Caenorhabditis elegans: one gene and its partners. The protein of the gene in region 1 interacts with the protein of each later gene in a pairwise test. Each region holds a gene or a part of one and is shown in the gene's direction. Other genes may lie near its edges. The genes, in order: ubl-5, hsp-17 and npp-9.

The links.
Region 2: the proteins of ubl-5 (region 1) and hsp-17 interact in a two-hybrid assay, tested with the Caenorhabditis elegans proteins (one large-scale study listed by BioGRID).
Region 3: the proteins of ubl-5 (region 1) and npp-9 interact in a two-hybrid assay, tested with the Caenorhabditis elegans proteins (one large-scale study listed by BioGRID).

Annotation. Positions count from the first base shown.
Region 1 is NC_003279.8:5,607,306-5,610,428, reverse strand, and holds ubl-5 (Ubiquitin-like protein 5), read left to right. Parts: upstream 1-1,587; 5' UTR 1,588-1,592; coding exon 1,593-1,705; intron 1,706-2,394; coding exon 2,395-2,503; 3' UTR 2,504-2,603; downstream 2,604-3,123. Other genes in the region: vha-10 (putative V-type proton ATPase subunit G), read left to right, coding at 175-321, 370-504, 743-841; tns-1 (Tensin homolog), read left to right, coding at 2,912-2,944.
Region 2 is NC_003283.11:8,384,280-8,387,800, reverse strand, and holds hsp-17 (SHSP domain-containing protein), read left to right. Parts: upstream 1-1,873; 5' UTR 1,874-1,886; coding exon 1,887-1,933; intron 1,934-2,243; coding exon 2,244-2,481; intron 2,482-2,742; coding exon 2,743-2,907; 3' UTR 2,908-2,993; downstream 2,994-3,521. Other genes in the region: gcy-7 (Guanylate cyclase), read right to left, coding at 1-48, 159-349, 398-445; F52E1.14 (ZP domain-containing protein), read right to left, coding at 2,994-3,188, 3,235-3,374.
Region 3 is NC_003281.10:3,400,109-3,405,840, reverse strand, and holds npp-9 (Nuclear Pore complex Protein), read left to right. Parts: upstream 1-1,564; 5' UTR 1,565-1,577; coding exon 1,578-1,595; intron 1,596-1,644; coding exon 1,645-1,737; intron 1,738-1,782; coding exon 1,783-2,208; intron 2,209-2,261; coding exon 2,262-2,759; intron 2,760-2,863; coding exon 2,864-3,324; intron 3,325-3,373; coding exon 3,374-4,271; intron 4,272-4,531; coding exon 4,532-4,675; intron 4,676-4,733; coding exon 4,734-4,850; 3' UTR 4,851-5,197; downstream 5,198-5,732. Other genes in the region: golg-4 (GRIP domain-containing protein), read right to left, coding at 6-107, 152-265; F59A2.5 (L antigen family member 3), read right to left, coding at 432-591, 640-768, 880-962; Protein clpf-1, read right to left, coding at 5,263-5,373, 5,435-5,701.

The DNA of each region.
Region 1 (3,123 bases):
CTATTCGTATTTATTCATTTTTCTTATAATTTTATGCATAAATTCTCAAAATTTATTGATTTTTCTTGTCTTGTGCTGACTCGGTTCTTTTCCAATTATTATATGTACATCTTAAGAATAATCACGAAATCCTGTGAAAATAATTAAATCATTTTCAGTACCGAAAACCTTAAAATGGCCTCACAAACCCAGGGAATTCAGCAACTTTTGGCCGCTGAGAAACGTGCCGCTGAGAAGATCAACGAAGCTCGTAAGAGAAAGTTGCAGAGAACGAAGCAGGCCAAGCAAGAGGCTCAAGCTGAGGTGGAGAAGTACAAGCAGGTAATAAATATTGATTTTAATTTAAATTTTAAAAAACTAATTATTCAGCAACGCGAGGCAGAGTTCAAGGCATTTGAACAACAATACTTGGGAACCAAAGAAGATATTGAGAGCAAGATTCGTCGTGATACTGAGGATCAAATCAGTGGAATGAAGCAATCTGTGGCTGGAAACAAGCAAGCTGTGAGTTTGAACAAATTTCCACACAACTTTGGGAAATCTTTTGCACTTTGCAAAATATTTACTGGAGAACTTTCAAAAAAAATTTCTCGAATTTAAATAAAATGTTCTAAAATAATTTTATTGAATTTCTATATTTGTCACCAAATTAAAATATAGTTATTGTAAAACGGCACATACACATTTTTGGCTCACACTCTCGAAAGTTGCATAATATCTCAATAAAATCCGTTAATTTCAGGTCATTGTCCGTCTCCTTCAACTCGTTTGCGACATCAAGCCAGAGCTCCATCATAACTTGACTCTCCAGAAGAAACTTCACGGACAGTTCGCTGCCTAAACTTTTCGTTTTCTTTAATCTCTGACAATTCTGATCATTCCAACTTTCGCTAAGTCCCGCCCCTTACTTTTATGATGTGATATCCCTCTCCCATCAATTTCTAACCAATTCTGTAGAATTCTCCATTTTCAATTAAAAAATTATAGTCGTCACTTTTTTTTCTGTGACGACGTATTGTATACTATTTACAAAGAAAAAGCTTATACGTCAAAGTATTTCGTCGAATAAAGGTTTTATAGAGCTGATTATAAACTGGAAATTATTCTTTCTCTACGAATTAATCAATAAACGTATTCAGAAGAGGTTTTTCGCAAGTGTGAAACGCTATGTTCAAAAACTGCAGATTTTACCATACTTGCGCTTTTTTATAATTCCGAGATTAATTTTTGGAAAAAATAGCAAAATTTAAGCAGTTTATGTTTAAAAAAGTTCGTTTTTAAATACGCTCAAATAAAAAAAGTAAGTTTTAATTTTAAGTTTCAAAGGGTTGAGTCTCGCCGCGAGAATTGAGTTCTTGAAAAATAATTGGTGCATGCGCCTTTAAGTTTACTGATTACATTGCAAGTCTGCATTTGCGCGTCGAGTTGTGTGTTTTTACGTACATTCGAAATAGTTATATTTATTTATTGCGCAATTGCATTAATGTTTTTCTATACCGAATTTTCATTGCTTTCTTGCAAAATACATGTATTTTCTTAAGAAATTTGTGAATATTTTAAATTATACATAATTGTTTGACCTTTCAGGAAAAATGATTGAAATCACAGTAAACGATCGACTCGGAAAAAAAGTACGAATCAAGTGCAATCCATCAGATACAATTGGAGATTTGAAGAAGTTGATCGCTGCACAAACTGGAACACGGTGAGATTTGAAAATTACCTTTTTGAATTTGATAATCTTTTTGAAATTGACTGATGATCCCACAATCTTTTTTTCTGAATTCTTAAACTTGAAAATCAATTATATTGAAAAAAAAAGAATTTAGCTTTTTTATAGACTTTAGAAGTTAGAAGTTAAAACGTTTGAAAGGAAAAAAAGAACTTAAAAACTAAAAAAAATCAAAAATGGCACAAAAAGTCGTTATTAAAATGATCTCGAGCTAGGAAATCGCGTTTTAAAATACAATTTTTCTGTGTTTTGCCATCTCATGCGGCTATTCGCATATGTTATTTTCGTATGTTTTATATATTAGAAACAAATTGAAAATTTGAAAAACGGCAATTTGCCGATTTGCCCAAAGTTTTCCAAGATATTTTACATGAGAAAAAACATTAATAACATTTTCATAGATTTTACTTGCATGTCAAAATAGTTCTAGGACATTAAAATAGTGCATTTAATTTTGCAGAATTTATAATAAAAATTTAAAAATTTACAACAATTGCAAAACGAAAAATTTCCGACTTTGCAAAAAAAAACTTGCCTCCCAGCCCTGTGTTTTATTAAATAATTGATTTTTTTGTAATTTGATCATAAATTTCGACCGCCATTCTTGGTGATGAAATATACATTTTTTATTGTTTAATAAAAAAAAATCAATTAAATTTCAGATGGGAAAAGATCGTGTTGAAAAAGTGGTACACCATTTACAAGGATCATATCACATTGATGGATTACGAGATTCACGAGGGATTCAATTTCGAGCTCTACTACCAATGATTCATCAGAATTCATTTCATTTTTTAAACAATTATTTACTTTTCAACTTTTCATGAATTTCAATTTAATTTTTTTTGACTTCGAATAAATTTCAACACTTTCTTGATTTAAATGCACTTTTAAAAACATCTTATATTCATTCTTCCACCCCATTAATTTCTGCCGTCTTGTTTGACCACTCCCTCTTTCTTCGCTCCCACCCGAGTAGGCTCCGCCCATTTGTTCGACCCAAAAGATTTTGTCCGATTTTTTCTCTTTTTCTCTCTAATTCTCTTCGCCTATCAATGTGTTTGCGCGAAACAGTTTAGTGTGGATAGAGAAAAATCAGTGGATAGTTAATTTTTGCAGATGTTTTTTTTTTGAATTTTCAAAAATATTACTTCTAAAAGACATTTCAGACCAAGGGCAATGGCTGCTGCAGCTCTGTGCTGTGCTTCAAGGGTACGTTTTTAAATTGAAAAGTTTGAATCCCGAAAGCTTAAAATGAAATATTTATAGAATACAAAAATAAAACAACTTTTGAAAATTAATAAAAAAATATCTCAAAAGTTAAAAAAAAAGTTTCTCTAAATAGAAATATTCAAACATATGGTATCAATAAGCAGTCGTATTGACCTCGT
Region 2 (3,521 bases), on another chromosome or scaffold:
ATTCCAGCGGCTTCAGATTCTACGCAATCGTCAAATTCAATAGTAAAACTGAAATTATTTTCAAAATTTACAAGATGATATGAACTATTAAAACTCTTCAATCCGGCCTGTCTATTTTTTTTTACAAAACAGTATGGCATTAGAAATAATCTACTTACTTGAATTCCCAACCACTCATTAGATTCTCCCTTTTCAATCTATCAACTGCAATTGAAGCTGCTGCTGCAGATGTACGATATCCAACAGTGATAGGTGCACTTTGAAAGTCTCTACAGTGAATAAATCCCACTCGAATCACATTTCCAGTGGTACCTGTTGCAACTTGGGGAAACATAGGTTTAGGTAACAACTGAAAAAAAATCATTTTTATTTTGTGGAATTCGCTTTCAAAACCTACCGTAATCACTAAAAACAAAACTAGAGACATTGAATAGAAGGGCTTCATGATTATTTTCTTATGCTAAACTGGCAGACAGCAGATCTTTTTATATCTGCACAAGGGGCGGTGGGATTTATAGAAACTTAAGTTTACTACGCCTGCCGCCTAATCCGTGAAACCTTATTTTTATATTTTTCCGCCTCCCGAAACAGTTGATACGTGAAAAAGCACGGAAGAGAAAAAAGCTTCTTTTGGACTTGATTAATCTGTTGGTCATGAGAAAGCGTGACACAAGGTAGGTTACGGTAGCAATTGCGTAATTAATCGGATCAGTCTATGCGCATTTCTGAAACATTGGGGATTTCAAATCTAGTTTATCAAACAGATACAAATCACATTGACATCTCGTGGAAACAGTCTGTAAAGTACCGCAAATTTTACAATTTTTGATATTATTGTCGTTAAACAAGTTCCATTTCAAATTTTTTATTGAATACGGTAAAAAAACAAGAGAGGCAGCTGGTTGAAGTGAGTCACTCTTGTTGAGTTTTCGTTACTGGAAACCTGAATGAAGATAGTTTTTAACTTTAGCATTACGCCTCATTATTTTCCTATTTCCTTTTTACTATTTTACTTGTATTTTTAAACTTTGTTTAGCACATTGAGCACATAAAACCAAATGTTATAAATATCCTTATCATCAACCCATCGGTTTCTTTTTAACTTTTTTCTTTCTCGAATTTCAATGACCCGGAAAACCACCACATCATATGAAAATCGAATCTAAAAATTTGCAGATACGCATCTGTCCTGCTGCGCTCTTTTTTTATTTTTGAATGTTTTTTTTTCTGCAAACGTTGGGAACAGTCATCCAATCCTTCAACCGTTCGTCTCGTTTTGAATGACAAACGTTCTCTTTCCGTCCTCTGTTTGAGTATATTTACATTGCTAATTCAAAAAAAAATAGTATAGAATATAATGATACTTAGAGATAGTTCTGGCATAAAGTTTAAACTTGAATGAAATCATCAATGCCATTAATAACTGTGTCACTGCATTAGTTTATCAGCAAGTGTGCCAGCAAAAAAAACGTTTCGAGACGATTCGATACATTCCTGAAAAACTTCGATAAAAGGGAAGTATCCAAACAACCACACCCAACTTTCATCATTGACTCGCTGTTTTGCTTTTTATTTTTGTTAATCTTCCTTACAATTAGTTTTAAAGTTTAAAACAAATATTACATGTTAGAAAGAACTGTATTTTGGTCAGTTTGTTCGAATAATTTCGAAATCTAAAACCTTTTCTTTTTGATGATTCGTCGGAGTAGATGTTTCTCGAAGGAGGTAAAAAAAACCGTGGGCGATTCTTGTTTGCATTGAGGATAATAGAGCAGTAGTAGAAAAGCAGGGAGTGTCAACTCAGTTTTGTCTTCTTCTTCCCCTATTTCTGTCTTACTTTCGTTTTGTTTCTTTGAAATAATTAGATTTTCAGAAACTATTATAAAATGGATCGTCGTTTTCCACCATTCTCCCCATTCTTTAACCATGGCCGGTAAGTTTCTAAATTCTCGTGTTTTCGGAAACTTCTATAGTTGAAGTAACATAACTTTCTGTAAATTTTCTTCTTTAATAAGTGACGTCACTCAAATTGTACTCTGCGCCGCTAGTTCTTAAAATACACAAGAATTTAATTTGGCGCGATTTCTAAAAATAAGCTAGCGAGAGGACTTTGTACTCCAGTTTAGCAAATAATGCTCTGAAAAATCATAAAGACTGGAGATTTTGACATATTTTTCTGCAATTAGAAAATTAGAAAATTAACTTTAAAAATTTTACAAAACTCCTACAAACAAGTTTTCTAGCAGATTCTTCGATGACGTCGACTTTGATCGCCACATGATCCGACCATACTGGGCCGATCAAACAATGCTCACTGGACACCGAGTAGGAGATGCTATTGATGTTGTGAACAACGATCAAGAATACAATGTATCTGTAGATGTTTCACAGTTTGAACCAGAAGAGTTGAAAGTGAACATTGTTGATAATCAGCTAATCATCGAAGGAAAGCATAACGAGAAGACTGATAAATATGGACAGGTGAGGGTTTCCCTCCTTCTTGAAAAACTCAAGTTTTGTATGAAGCTAGTGCAACTTGAAAATGTTTTCATGCATCCTTAGATTAGCTCTCAAGATCCTGAAACCTTACTCGGAAAAGGGCAAAAAGTTATCCAAAATAAAGGCCAAGAGTTCTAGATTATCCTTCCGCCTGTTACGCAATACAAGGAAGCCAAGCAACTCATTTCCGAGCTTATAACGAAGTTGTACTAAAGTCTAAAACCTCGTTGTGCATACTTTCAGGTAGAGCGTCACTTTGTCCGGAAGTATAACCTTCCAACAGGGGTCCGTCCAGAACAAATCAAGTCCGAATTGAGCAACAATGGAGTGCTCACTGTCAAATATGAGAAGAATCAGGAACAGCAGCCAAAATCCATTCCAATCACAATTGTGCCAAAGAGAAACTGATTTCAGTTACCTAAGTGTCTGTATTTTAACTATTTCAAAAATATTTATTCAATTCCATTATTGAAGTGACAATATAAACATTTTGTTTAGACTCCAACAATCTTTTGAACCGTAATGAATAGAGCATATGGGAACATGGATGGCCTCTTCACTTTCACATAAACTGAGCAGAAGTTGAAATCATCATAATAATCATAATCGATTCGAACTCCTTGTGAGTTTAAATCAACTTGCATTGAAGCGATTGAAGTATCGTTTGGTGATCCAATCGTTGAGAAAACCTTGAATTTAATCATGAAATCTTTTCAAATAGTGACGAAATTATACCTGTTGTGCTAGAGCAAGTGGAAGACTTCCATTGATAACTGCAGATGATACAATGACGTTTTCGAGTGTTTTATCTTGACAATGAGATTGACACCATTGAACTTGGGATACATCTTTTCCGCAATTGGAAAGTGAAGCGTCTGGAAATTTCTTAAAATCGATAGGAAATCTTTTAAAATTAGTTTAGAATACTGATGCAACACATTAAACATGATAAGATTCATTCTTTCCTGTTAGCAGATTAATTTATAATTGATGAGCTTTCTCTATCAATGACGTTTTTTTTT
Region 3 (5,732 bases), on another chromosome or scaffold:
CTCACAATAGAGGTATTTGCTGGATTTTCAGCTTTAGTTTCTCCTGATTCTCCGGTGAATCTTTTAGAAATCGACGCGGATGCATCACTGCCAGCAGGCTGCTCATTCTGCAATTTTATCGATTTTTTCTCAGTTTTCAGTGGATTTTTACCATCGCCTGCCGATATTGTCCAACTTGAGCGGCGAGTTGTTCTCCATACTGCTGAGCTGATTGTTTAAGCTTTCCGGCTTCATTATCCAGCCGGTTTTTCAGGTTTTTGAACATTTAAACCTGAAAAAATCGATTTTTTAGTGGGGAATTTGCAATAAAATCGAAAAAAAAAGTATTTTAAAGGTTAAAAACCATATTTTTAAGAAGAAAAAATCATGAAAAGTTGAAAAAAATTCATTTCAAAAAACAAAAACAGAAAAAATAACAAATTTTAATCAAATTAAGCCTGAGATCCGTTTGAGAGTTTTCTTTTCAATCCGTTTTCCTTCGATTTTCCCAGATTTTCACAAAGTTTGATAGTTTTCACGGACAAATCGATCATATCAACAGCGTTGGCAATGGATTTTGACAATGATTTCGGATCTTTTGATTCGATTTTTCTGAAAATTAACTTATTTATTTAGTTATTCGAATAGAAAAACTATTACATGACTACAAATTCGCCTTCGCTGCACACTTCCCGTCGAGCACCACTTCTTCTCGGCTCTTTATCGATTTTTATGACATCTGCCACGGTTCGAGCCGCTTCTTCTGTTCCGACGGATAATCGTACGCTTCTGGAATTAATCGGATTAGAAACTGCTGTTAGAACTTCAGAAAATGTTAATTTTGAAACAAAAACATTTAAAAAACAGTTTGTTTTTTGTGTTTTTTAGCGAAAAACTCACGCTGAGTGGATATATGCCGTGCTCGGAGAGCTTGGGTCACATTCGTCCTCTGAAGATGACGATGAGCTTGTGTCTACTTCCATTTTGTTGTTGTAATCACTAAAAAACACAATTTTGAAAGTTTCTGATGAAAAATCAATAAATTCGCTGAGAAAAGTGAATAATAAATGCTATTCCAGGCAAAATTGACATTTCAAAAACCGAAAAAGCCATAAAAAACGACGGAAAATATCAAAAATCCTGTTTTTCGCCTGAAAAACCGGTATTTTCCATGAATAATTGCCAACTCATGGTTAAAGGCGCGCGTGTCGATTTACGCAACGGGTCTCGCCACGGCGCAGGAATTTGAACTTTTTTCGAAATTTGCGAAGCTTGGCGCCCAATTTCTATTTATTTTAGACTGTTTCGCCATAGTTTTTCCGTATTTTTACGAAAAATAGCTGGAAAACATTTTTTGTGCGTTTAAAAGCATATTTTATACAGAAAAGACTAGTTTTAAAGGTAGGAAAGCCCTATTTTAAGCAGGGAAAGCGTTGGCGCGAAATTTCGAAATTCAAATCCCTGGCGCGAATTCTTTGAAGTATTGCTGCTAATTTTCAACTAAAGAGACCGCAGTATTCGTCTTTTTATCTCGCTTTAGCTTGAAGTCTCTTGAATTGTTTACCTGATATTTTTCATATTTCAGCTCTCCTTTCGCAATGAGCGATCAGAAGCCGGTAAGTGAATCTTTTCGAATGTTGCTCAACATGATTCACGGTATTTCAGAATATGGGGCGCATTGTCGCCAGCGTCGTGGATGTGCAGCAGTTGATGACAATGCAGTTTGACTCGCTTATCAAAAGCATGGACTCGTTGAAGGTATGCGATTCATGAAAAACTCAATTTAATACTTATTTTTCACAGATTGAGCACCAGACCGGCGTCACCCAGCTTCGCGATGATATTCGTCGATCCGAGGATCGGTTTCAGAAGCAGTTGTCCGATTTGAGCACTAATCACGGAAAAGAGCTCGAGAGACTTCATCAAATTATACACACTCTTCTTGCTCGTGATGCGAATCCTCTCGGCTCAATGATTCCTCCACAGCAGCTTCAGCAACAACAGCAAATGTTGATTCTTCAGCGACAAATGGAGATGGCTCATGTGCAGGCAGCACAAGCTCAAGCTCATGCTCACGCTCAAGCTCAAGCCCAAGCACAGGCCCAAAGCCAAGTTATGGCTAATTTGCTCAATGCTGCGAAGCCAGCTATTCCCGTTACACAGCCACTGGTCGCCACTACAGCACAAGCAAAATCGACAGTTCCAGCTTCTGGAGTTATTGCACCAAAGGTAACAAATTTTCGGGTTTTAGTTCCAGCAATTAAAAATTCAATATTTTTCAGACATCTCCACCAGAAGTTGTAATTCCACCTGCTAAGCCAACATTCTCTACTCCAACGCCTGCAGTTGTTCCAAAGCCAGCCACCACCGGATTCTCATTCGGCGGGACCAATCCAGCTACTTCAATCTTCGGTAAAAAGCCTGAAACTGCTTCCCCAGTCGTGGTTCCAGCAGCTAAAGATGATGAAGACGAAGAACATGATGAGGATTACGAGCCAGAGGGCGAGTTCAAGCCAGTCATTCCACTGCCAGATCTTGTCGAGGTGAAAACTGGAGAAGAAGGAGAGCAAACCATGTTCTGCAATCGTTCAAAACTCTACATTTATGCCAACGAGACGAAGGAATGGAAGGAGCGAGGAACCGGCGAGCTGAAGGTTCTCTACAACAAGGACAAGAAGTCGTGGAGAGTTGTTATGCGACGAGACCAGGTGACCATTTCGGAGGAGACACTCCCTTCAAATATTGAGAATGGAACCGAAGAATTGTGTTGGAATATTCAGGTTATTCCAATTACAGCTTTTTTCACATTTTTCGGCGTTTTCCTCAACAGAAAGATCTTAATTTAAATTTAAATACCTTAATTTAGCATTAAAATAAATTACAGGTTCTCAAAGTCTGTGCCAATTTCCCAATTCTCGGCTCGATGACCATTCAACAAATGAAATCCAACGAGAAGGCCTACACATGGTTCTGCGAGGACTTTTCCGAAGATCAGCCAGCTCACGTGAAGCTTTCCGCTCGTTTCGCTAACGTCGATATCGCTGGAGAGTTTAAGACTTTGTTCGAGAAGGCTGTCGCTGAGGCAAAATCATCGAGCAACGCTGGAAAGACCATCGACAAGGAAATCAAGCCGGCGGCTGAGGTGAAGAAGGAAGTCAAGCAAGAAGTTGTGATTCCATCAAACAACAAACCGGAAGAGACTGGATTTGGAGATCAGTTCAAGCCAAAACCAGGATCTTGGGAATGCCCTGGATGCTATGTTACTTGCAAAGCTGACGAGATTGAATGTGCCTGTTGTGGGACATCGAAAGACGGATCTGTCAAAGAGAAAAATATATTCTCTAAGTAAATATTCTATTTGAGTTATCTTAAAATTAAAAATTTAAATTTGCAGACCTTCGATCCTCCAGCCTGCCCCAGGAACTCCAAAAGTGACATTCGGATTCGGAGCATCTGCTCCAGCCAAGGAACCTCTTGCTCAAACATCTCAGTTCGGTGGATCACTCAGCGGATCTCCAAGCACTAGCAGTAGCATTTTCGGTGGTGGAACACCAAAGGGAACAAGCGTTTTCGGTGGAGGTGCTGCTAATACTCCAACTTTCTCATTCAACAAGCCAGCTGCCGCTGTCAATGCAACTACCCCATCGTTCAATTTCAACAATCCTGCAGCTTCAACTGCTTCTCCGGCAACCTCTACGACTCCAGGAAATTCATTGTTCGGAGGTGGACTCTCCAAGACTGAATCTACAGCTTCTTCAACTACTACTCCGTCGTTTATGTTCGCCAAGAATTCTGAAAGTGCCTTCCCAAAGCCAACTTTCTCATTCGGAAAGCAACAGACTCCATCAACGACTGCACCAGCTAAACAAGAAGAAAATAAACAGTCCGAGACGCCAAAATCCGTGTTCGGTAGTGGATTCACGTCTGGAGGTGCAACATTCGCTGCCCTTTCAGCCAACTCTGCCAAATCTGGCTCCATTTTCGACGCAGCAAATGTCAAGAAGGCCCAAGAAGAACTTGCTGCTCAGAAGAAGGCAAGCATTTTCGGGAGCAAGAACACCACGTTGAACACGACTTCTGCAACTTCACACGATGGTGATGAGACGAATGAGGATGGAGATGGGGAGTATGAGCCAGAAGTCGAGTTTAAGCCAGTTATTCCTCTTCCGGATTTGGTTGAGGTGAAAACTGGTGAAGAGGACGAGGAGGTCATGTTCTCCGCCAGATGCAAGCTTTATAAGTACTATTCGGATCTCAAGGAGAATAAGGAACGTGGACTCGGAGATATTAAGGTCAGATTTAGGATTTTATATCAAAATGAGCCAGCTTGGCATGTTCTTTTGATAGTTTTCATTAAAATTTAGTGATAAAACGTAGAAAATAACTTATTTCAGTTGAAACAGTTAAGAAAAGTGCTAGTTTTGCGCACTTTTCAACTGTTTTGCAAGTATTTTCTATGTTTTTTCACTAAATTTTAATGAAAACTATTAAGAAAACAACTGATTTTTGACTCATAGAGGCTAAATTTGAGAAAAATAATTTATTATTTCAGCTCCTGAAAAGCAATGACAACAAATATCGAATCGTGATGCGTCGTGAGCAAGTCCATAAGCTCTGTGCCAATTTCCGTATCGAAAAGTCGATGAAGCTCAGTCCGAAGCCAAACTTGCCAAATGTGCTCACATTTATGTGCCAGGTAGCAATTTTTAATTTCTTTTTATATAAAAATGTACTATAAATTCCTTATTTTTCAGGACTTCTCAGAAGACGCCTCCAACGCTGATCCAGCCATCTTCACCGCCAAATTCAAGGACGAGGCGACCGCCGGAGCATTCAAGACGGCTGTTCAGGATGCTCAATCGAAGATGTAATCCTCTGCTGATTATTTAAATTATTTTATTATTGTTATTCCTCCCCACCCAGCACTCTGTGTTAGTATTCCCCACCACCAATTTTATTTATGAACCTAGTTTTATTCATCCCCATCTGCTGTCATCTATAGTCCTTTAAGTGTAGTTTATATTTGTCTGGTAAGGTTTTTAAAAAAATAATTTCCTTATTTCCCCCCCATCTCTCTCAAAATCCCATTGTTCTCATAAGTACCCCCCACACACTATCATTCATAATTTTTGTCTTTAAAACTTAACTATATTGTTCACATTGTCCCGGCATCGATTTTTCCCCACTGGTGACAATCCAATAAATTGTGAATGCATTGAAGAATGAGATTTATTTTGAGGGCGGGAAACAAATAAATAGGGATTAGGAAAAAAAAGAAATAAATTATCGTTTTATTTGATCATCAAGATGGGTGATATCTGAGAAGACGAGAACTTTCGATGGAATTGTACGCTGTGGGCAGAGAATTGACATTGTTCGCTTCTCCAAATCAACCTGAAATTTGGATAAAATTGAAATTTCCGTTCGAGACCCAAAAACTCGACGAAATACCAACCTCCGTGACAAGACAAAATCCAAAAACCGGCGATTTCAGCACATTTTCGTCGGCTTTCGTGCTCCGCGAGAACGCGAACAAATGATGTTTAATGTCGGCACTGGGCTCCATGATAACCAGCTTTGTCTCATGATTTTCAACTTCCATTCCGAATGGTAGACATGAATCGGGCAGTTGCTCGGCTCCGATTTTACAAAGAGTGACGTCATCGAAGCTGACGTCAAATGTGAATGGGTAGAGATTGTTGGCACGGGTTCCGTAGAAATACTGCAAAAAAAAAGTTTTTTCTTAACAAGTT